Linked DNA regions of Coturnix japonica. The protein of the gene in region 1 purifies or fractionates together with the protein of each later gene. This does not show direct contact. Links are inferred from orthologs where the notes say so. Each region holds a gene or a part of one and is shown on either strand. Other genes may lie near its edges.

What was found.
Region 2: the proteins of LUZP1 (region 1) and DAPK3 purify together in Homo sapiens (affinity purification with mass spectrometry; 3 studies listed by BioGRID and IntAct, with this or other methods). This does not show direct contact. The link is inferred for Coturnix japonica from reciprocal best matches to the Homo sapiens genes LUZP1 and DAPK3.

What each region holds. Positions count from the first base shown.
Region 1 is NC_029538.1:1,523,115-1,526,919, forward strand, and holds part of LUZP1 (leucine zipper protein 1), read left to right. Parts: intron 1-1,767; 5' UTR 1,768-1,867; coding exon 1,868-3,805.
Region 2 is NC_029543.1:799,481-804,040, forward strand, and holds the start of DAPK3 (death-associated protein kinase 3), read left to right. Parts: upstream 1-1,461; 5' UTR 1,462-1,476; coding exon 1,477-1,702; intron 1,703-1,801; coding exon 1,802-1,901; intron 1,902-2,320; coding exon 2,321-2,681; intron 2,682-3,332; coding exon 3,333-3,462; intron 3,463-3,666; coding exon 3,667-3,715; intron 3,716-3,816; coding exon 3,817-3,843; intron 3,844-3,920; coding exon 3,921-4,073; intron 4,074-4,367; coding exon 4,368-4,413; intron 4,414-4,560. Other genes in the region: EEF2 (elongation factor 2), read left to right, coding at 125-307, 382-514, 710-903. UniProt on the Homo sapiens protein: Serine/threonine kinase which is involved in the regulation of apoptosis, autophagy, transcription, translation and actin cytoskeleton reorganization. Involved in the regulation of smooth muscle contraction.

The DNA.
Region 1 (3,805 bases):
GAGAAAGGGAGAACAGCGGATACCGTCAGATGGAAGAGCAGAAGAGGAACAGACTAGAAGAGAAGAGAGGATACAGGTGAAACAAATGCAGAATTGGACCGAAGGAGGTCCGAGCTCTGCAGGAACCAGCTCATCGAGGAACTGAATCAGTTTAACAAAGGAACTGAGTCAGTTTAAGGGTGGCTCACCTACAGTAGCACGTCCCTTCCCAGCAATCTGTGCCCTCTTGGAGACTCCCATCAGCTCCAGGTCAACACGTAGGCACTGCTGGGAGTCCATCACCCAAGCCCATGTCCTGACAGTGGCTGCTGAGCCTGAGCTGCTTCCTGACCAGCTCCTGGCATGGCGTTAACCATTAACTCCCTGCTCCAAGGCACGCCGGGAACACTTGTTGTTTTTTAGGGCACTGTGAAATTGCTTTGTCCTTTCCTGCGACATTCCGGTGACGTTTCTTGCTGGGATCCTGCCTGGAGCTGAGCAGCCTTTCCTGTTTGCAACTGAAGGAGTCGGCCGCTCAGCAGAGCCGTGGGCCACGTGGCCTTTGTGGTCTGAGTTGTCCCTCAGCAGAAGGACTACAGGCTGTGTGCTACACACAGGAGGTGCTCGGGGTGTGTGGTGGGTGCCCGCTATGTGCTGTGGGTCCCTGTTTGCATTGCAGGCCCCTCTACCCATCAGGAAATGAATCAGCTTCGATCAAAGGCTTTGTACTGGGGCACTGCAGTCTCCTTTCCCGGCGCTGTCTCCTCCCCACATCCTGCTCTTCACCTCTTGGCACTGTGAAATAGGAAACTCCGGAGTGTTTCCTCTGCGGGGAGTTTCAGCAGAAATGCTGGAGCCACGTCCTGCTTGGAGGCAGACTGCTGAGCCAGGGTCTGAGAGCTGCAGTCACCTCCCCTTCAGACCAGAAGGCCAACAGTACCCTGGGCTGCATCGGCATAGGGGTGGCAGTGGCAGGAGGGGATTGTAATCTCAGCCATTGTGAGGCCCCATCTGGAGTATTGTGTTCAGTACAAGAGAGATATGGAGGTGCCCAAGGCCATAGAGGGGGGCCCTGGGCAGCCTGGTCTGGTAATCAACCCATGGCAGGGGTTGGGGCAGCTGTGGGGTCCCTTCTTACCCATCTGTTCTCTGGTTTGATGATTCTGTGTGCTTACCTAAGCTCTTGTACGTGCAATGCATAGTTGGGATCCATCTCAAGCCCAGGATGGCTCAGTGTTAATGCCCACAGTCAGAGGGGACTTCTTGTCCTTCCATCAGCTGTCCTGGCCCACTCACATTGTCCCCAGCTCTCACTAACCCTGCCCTGCCGGCTCTGAGCTGGGAAGAGAATTGCATTTACTGCATCACCTCTTGCCAATGTGTTGAAATTGCTGCTCTTTATCCCTGGCAACAGGGAGTAGAAAGCGTGAGTGCTTGCAGCTGCTGCCTGCTGGGTGCACGAGTGGGTGGCAGCTGAGGGCACTGACAGCTTCTGAAAGAGGAGGGAGAAACTCAGACCTTTATGACACAGCATCCTCAGGATGTGGCTGCAGCTCAGGTAATGCTGGATGCTGAGTGACGTGGGCTGCAGGAGGGGTACTGGAAGTGATGGGTACTGGAAGTGATGGGTACTGGAAGTGATGGGCAGTGCTGGCTGGCAGCAGCTGTCCCTAACTGGCACTCAGATACATGTTTAAATAAGACATAAATATTTGCAGTTAAATTATACTGTGAGAAAACATGTATTCTGAGCTCTCGTATTCACGTTAAGCATTTTGTTTCTTTCAGGTTGAGTTGCCTCTCTTCAAAGGAAGTATTACAAACCAGGAACACGCGTTAAGCACTCGGAATCAGCCAAGCTCCCATCTCAGAGGAACAGAAAATAAACATGGCAGAATTTACAGGGTATAAGGAGACCTCCAATCGGCACCTGAGGTTCAAGTTGCAGAGTCTTAGTCGCCGCCTGGATGAACTGGAGGAAGCAACGAAAAACCTCCAGAAAGCAGAGGATGAACTGCTTGAGCTCCAGGACAAAGTGATCCAGGCAGAAGGCAGCAATTCCAGCATGCTGGCTGACATCGAAGCCCTGAGGAAAAGAGTGTTAAAGATTGAAGGCAAGGATGAGGAAATTAAGAAGGCTGAAGAGCTTTGCAGGTTAATGAAAGAAAAGCTCGAAGAGGAGGAGAGCCTGACTCGAGAGCTGAAGTCGGAAATTGAGCATCTGCAGAAGAGAATGGCAGAGCTGGAGAAACTGGAGGAGGCCTTTGGCAGGAGCAAGAACGACTGCACACAGCTGTGTCTGAGCCTCAACGAAGAAAGGAATTTGACCAAAAAGATATCTACGGAGTTAGAAATGCTCCGAGTGAAAGTGAAAGAACTCGAAGCATCCGAAGAAAGGATGGATAAAACGGAGCAGAGCTTAACGGGTGAGTTAGAGAAACTGAAGTCTTTGGCACTGAGCTTTATCAGTGAGAGAAAACATTTCAACGAGAGAGAAAAGCAGAATGAGAAAATAATCCAGGAGCTCACACTGAAACTGGAGCAAAACAATAAGCTGAACAGGGCCGATCAGACCAGAAACTCATCCAACCTGCTGGAAAGGTCATCAAATAATCTCCTGGATAGAAATGATTTGAGAATTGAAGATGATTTGACTTCTGCATTGCCCTCTAAAGAAACCAGGCGGAAGGGAAGCGTAGATTACCTGAAACATGTAGAAAACGAAAGCAGGAATAAAGCGGAAAACCAAAAGAATAAAAATCAGGAAGACAACAAAGTGAAAGATCTCACCCAAGAAATCGAGAGGCTTAAAACTCAGATCAAACATTTTGAATCCTTAGAAGAAGAGCTTAAAAAAATGAGAGCCAAAAACAACGACCTGCAAGACAGTTATTTGAGCGAGCAGAATAAAAACAAACTTCTCACTGGTCAATTAGAGGAAATAAAGATGCAGATAAAGAAACAGAAAGATCTGGAAAACGGAGAGGTCGAAAATGAAGATGCAGGTTTCTCTAGCAGGGGGAAACATGACAGAGCTAAATACAGAGTTGTTGCAGCAGATTTCACAGCTGCCAAGCACAAACCAAGGGAGGTTTCGCCCCAGCAGCGCCGGGAAAGAGTGAGAAACAGAGATTTCTCCTTCAGCAATGACAGCTCTGGCCATGGTGGTAAGCAGACATCCAGCCCGAGCTTAATGAGCAGGAAAGCAGGAAAGTCATCGGGTGCAGCTGCCCTTGGAGATGCTACTGCAACAGATATGAAAAGACTGGAAGAGAAATGTTTGGTTTCCAGTTTTTCATCCGGTCAGAAGGAATCTTCCTTCACGCAGAATGAGGGGAAGAGATCCAAAGAGCAGCCCTCTGTCCTCAGCCGTTACCCCCCTGCTGCTCACGAGCAGAAATCTTGGAAAGCACCTTCCAAACCCGTTAGTGACTTGAGATCCAAGGCTGAAAAACCATCTCAGGCAACTCGCGGCAGCTGCCAAACTGGTGCAGACACACGGGATGAAAAGTCAAGTAGAGGGGAATCGGTGGCTTCATTAGCTGAGAAGCTGAAGGCAAATCAGGGTGAGGTGAGCGATGCCATGGGGGACACACAGCAAAGCAGGGGGCACTGCGCCTCTCCCAATGGCGTGGCCACTGCATACAGGTGCCACATCACAGCAGCAGAGTCGGACTCTGTTGGCTCTAAGGCAGAAGAAGCAGCAAATGCTTTGACTGCATCGCACCGACAGCCCTTGGAGGGAAGGGCTAAAAGAGCCATTGCCCCCCAGGAAAAGGAAATCACAGATGCGTCACTTGAAAGCTTGAAAGCATCACCGCTAACG
Region 2 (4,560 bases), on another chromosome or scaffold:
TGGAGCTGCTGCTCAGGCTGCCAGATGGGCTCAGTGCTGCCTGCAGCCGTGACTCAGAGGTGGGAGGAGCAGGATGAATGCTGCCTGGCCTGGTGCTGCCTCTCAACCTTCTTTTGCTCTCCAGGGTGTGCTGTGCGAGGAGAACATGCGTGGTGTCCGCTTCGATGTGCACGACGTGACCCTGCACGCTGACGCCATCCACCGTGGGGGTGGGCAGATCATCCCCACTGCCAGGAGGTGCCTCTATGCCTGTGTGCTCACGGCTCAGCCCAGGCTCATGGAGCCCATCTACCTTGTGGAAATCCAGGTAAGGAAAATCCAAGGAAATCCAAGGAAAGTGGAGTTGTGTTGTTTGCAGCCCCTGACCCCTCTGTCCCACAGTGCCCGGAGCAGGTGGTTGGTGGCATCTATGGCGTGCTGAACAGGAAGCGTGGGCACGTCTTTGAGGAATCCCAAGTGGCTGGAACCCCCATGTTTGTGGTCAAGGCCTTCCTGCCTGTCAACGAGTCCTTTGGTAAGTGTGTGCTGCCAGGAGCCCCATCACATCCCTGTGCTGTAAGGCCTGGAGCTGCCCTGGGGGGTGGGCTGTACATGGGGGTGCAGCTGTGGAGGGGGGGCTGCAGGACCCCGAGGGGCTGAGGCTCAGGGGGAGGCAGCTGGAGCTGTCAGACCCCGCATCCATCCCACTCAGCTCTGCTCTTCCCTCCAGGTTTCACAGCCGACCTGAGGTCCAACACTGGAGGCCAGGCCTTCCCGCAGTGTGTGTTTGACCACTGGCAGATCCTGCCCGGGGATCCCTTCGACAGCACCAGCCGCCCCTTCCAGGTGGTGGCCGAGACCCGCAAACGTAAGGGGCTGAAGGAGGGGATCCCGGCCCTGGATAACTTCCTGGACAAGCTGTAATCACCACCATCCCCATGTGCTGTCACTGCTGTGGGACTCAGCCTAAACACCATCCCAGCAGGCTCAAAGCGCAGTGACAGCTCTTTGCATTGTACTTAATCAGTTTCGTAGCGATTGGAGACTTATAACAAGAAAAAAAACCCCCACAAAACTGAACCGAACCAACCGAGCGCATTGATCCAGCCTTGGAGCTCTGTGTGTTGCACATCGTGGCCCATTGGGTGCCATTGTAACAATGAAAAGCGTTTCCACTCTGCTTCCATATTTATTTGACTTGAGGAATCTCTGCTTTATTGGGCTGGGGGAGAAGCTGAGGGCGGTGGGGGCTGCTCCCCCTTTATCTATGGGGGGGTTTAATGGAGCCCAATGGGGCCGGGGGGGGTTTGAAGGCAGGGAGCTGTTGTGTGTCATCGTCATCATGAGCATCAACCCGTGTATTAGTGCCACTGGAAGTAATAAATTTGATATGGTGATGATATGGCTCCTCCAACGTCGTGTCTCCTGCCGGACCCATCGCAGTGGGGTGTAGGGGTTCGATCACTGCGGGATCGATGCGGTATTGATGCGGGATCGATGCGGGATCGATGCGGGGCCGCCGGGATTCGAACCCGCGTCCTCAGCTCCGCCGGGGCGAGGCAGGGCGGCCCGATCCACGCATTCCAACATGACGTCACCCCCGTGGAGCCAATGGCAGCGCGCGAGGGGCGGGACATCTGGGATCTCGCAGCCAATAGCGGAGGAGAATGGGCGGAGCCGGCGGCTGTGCTGGAATGCGGCGGTGCGGGCGGGGGCGGCCCAGGTGGGGGAGCGGAGCGGGCGGGGGGTGCGGGATCGGAGCGGGATAAAGGGGGGGAGTGAGGGATCGGAGCGGGAATGAGCGGCTGATACCGGCCTGTAGGTGCTGAGAGGAGCGGGGGGAGCTGCCGGGCCGCCGCCATGTCCACCTTCCGGCAGGAGAACGTGGAGGAGTTCTACGAGATGGGGGAAGAGCTGGGCAGGTGAGAGGGGCGGGGGTGGGGGGTGGGATGGGGGTCGGGATGGGGTCGGGGTGGGGTCGGGATGGGGGTCGGGATGGGTCGGGATGGGTCGGGCCGTGTGTCCCGCAGCGCTGCGGGGTCTCCCGGTGCCGCCCCGCATTGATTCGGGCACGGCGCAGCGCTGCGGGTCCTTATATGGGACCGGGAGAACCGAGAGGGGACGGACGTCAGAGCGGGGAGGGGCTGCGGGGCTGCGTCCTCATCCACGGTGCCGGGGGGGGGTGAGCGACCCCGACCCCGACCCCATGGCCGAGAGATGGGGACGGGGTTGGGGTCCCACCGTGCTGCTCACGCAGGGCTCTATGGGGGCAGCTCAGCCCCCATATCAGTCCCTCCCCAGTCCCACACTGCGGGGCTGCCATCTCTCCCTCCTCCCCCAGCGGCCAATTCGCCATCGTGAGGAAATGCCGGGAGAGGAAAACGGGTCTGGAATACGCGGCCAAATTCATTAAGAAGAGACGATTATCATCGAGCCGCCGTGGGGTGAGCAGGGAGGAGATCGAGAGGGAGGTGGACATCCTGCGGGAGATCCAGCACCCCAACATCATCACCCTGCACGACATCTTCGAGAACAAGACGGACGTGGTGCTGATCCTGGAGCTGGTGTCGGGGGGGGAACTATTCGACTTCCTGGCTGAGAAGGAATCGCTGACGGAGGAGGAGGCCACGCAGTTCCTGAAGCAGATCCTGGACGGGGTGCATTACCTGCACTCCAAACGCATCGCACACTTTGACTTGAAGGTGGGGGGTCTATGGGTGTGGGTGGGAGCTATAGGGGCTCATTGGGGTGGGCAGATGTTGGTCAGCTGGGAGGCTGTCGGCCTTTTTGGACGCTGAGATGCTTTGCAGGTTTGTGGTTGTTCATTCATCATCTCTTGGTCAACTTCCATTGACCAACTACCACTGGTCAACTGTTGGCCAACCATCGGTCAGCTGGGACACTGCTGGCCTTCATGGCTGCTGGGACACAAAGCGTATGGTCAACTCTTGGTCAACTCTTGGTCAACTCTTGGTCAACTCTTGGCCTTTGTTGCTCTTGGCTCTTTGGCCAACCATTGGCCAACTGTTGGTCAATCGTTGGTCAACTGTTGGCCAACTCTGTGTCTGCTGGGACAACATTGGCTTTGGTGGCTGCTGGGCCGCACTTTTGGCTCTTGGTCAACCATTGGTCAACCATTGGCCAACCTTTGGTCTGCCAATGGGTCACCACTGGCCTTTGTGGCCATAAGGGAACACCATGTCTCATGGTCAACCTACAGCCAGCCATTGGCCAACCAAGACCCCGTTGGCCTTCTTGGCCACACATTGTAGCTGCCATGGTGTGCTGCTGGCTTGTGGAACACCTCATGTTCAGCACTGGGGTGAAGCACTGATCATCCTCCCCCCCTACAGCCAGAGAACATCATGCTGCTGGACAAGAACGTGCCCAACCCCCGCATCAAACTCATCGACTTCGGGATCGCCCACAAGATTGAAGCTGGGAATGAGTTCAAGAACATATTTGGGACGCCGGAGTTTGTGGGTGAGGCACAGTTTTGAACAGGGGGGGCTCAGAAATGTTGGCCTCATCCTGCAGGGATACCCCCAGGGGGGGTTATCTCCATGTGGGGCAGAGCTGGGTGCCCCATGAGTGTCCATACACAGGAGATGGATGCATTTGTGGGGACAGATATTTGTGTTTTCCCCTCCAGAATGAGTTTGTTGTCTCTCTTTTTCCTTCCTAAAGCACCTGAAATTGTGAACTACGAGCCGCTGGGGCTGGAGGCCGACATGTGGTGAGTGAGCCCCGGTGGGGGGTCAGGATGTCCCCCTCTGTCCCCTCTGTGCCATGTGGGGGGGACGCTGTGGGGCTCTGACCTCCTCTTTTCCCTTCCAGGAGCATTGGGGTCATCACTTACATCCTGTGAGTAGAGGGGCCGGGGGTGTGGGGTGCTGCAGGGGGTGGGGATGTGGGGCTGAGCATCCCCCCCATTGCTGCAGGCTGAGCGGGGCCTCCCCCTTCCTGGGGGAAACGAAGCAGGAGACCCTCACCAACATCTCTGCCGTCAACTACGACTTCGATGAGGAATACTTCAGCAGCACCAGCGAGTTGGCCAAGGACTTCATCCGCCGGCTGCTGGTCAAGGACCCCAAGTGAGGGTTGGGGTGCGGGTGTTGGGGGCTGACGTGGGTCAGACTGTGCCCCATATGGGTGTGGGGCATCTGTGGGGTCACCTGTGGCTGTAGTGGGTGGAAGGGAAGGAATGGGGTTGTGAGGAAGTGGTGGGTTGAGGGCTGAGCTGCACAGCCTGGCAGCCCACGAGCAGGGCCCCTGATTTTATGCCCCTCTGATCCCACCCCCCAATCCTGTCCCCTCTCTTCCTGTTCCCCCCATAACCCCGTATCTCCAACTCCATCCTCCCCTGTCCTGCCTTGCTGTCATTGCAGGAAGCGGATGACCATAGCTCAGAGCCTGGAGCACCCCTGGATCAAGGTATGGGGTTTCCAGGTGATGGTGTGGGGCGGGGGGCTGGGGGAGCTGGGGGGCACTGCTCCATCCCTGGAGGCATTGGGGTGGGTGGGCTCTGGGTCTCATGTACCAAGGGACACCCACCTGTGGTTGGGGTCAGAATGGGGAGAT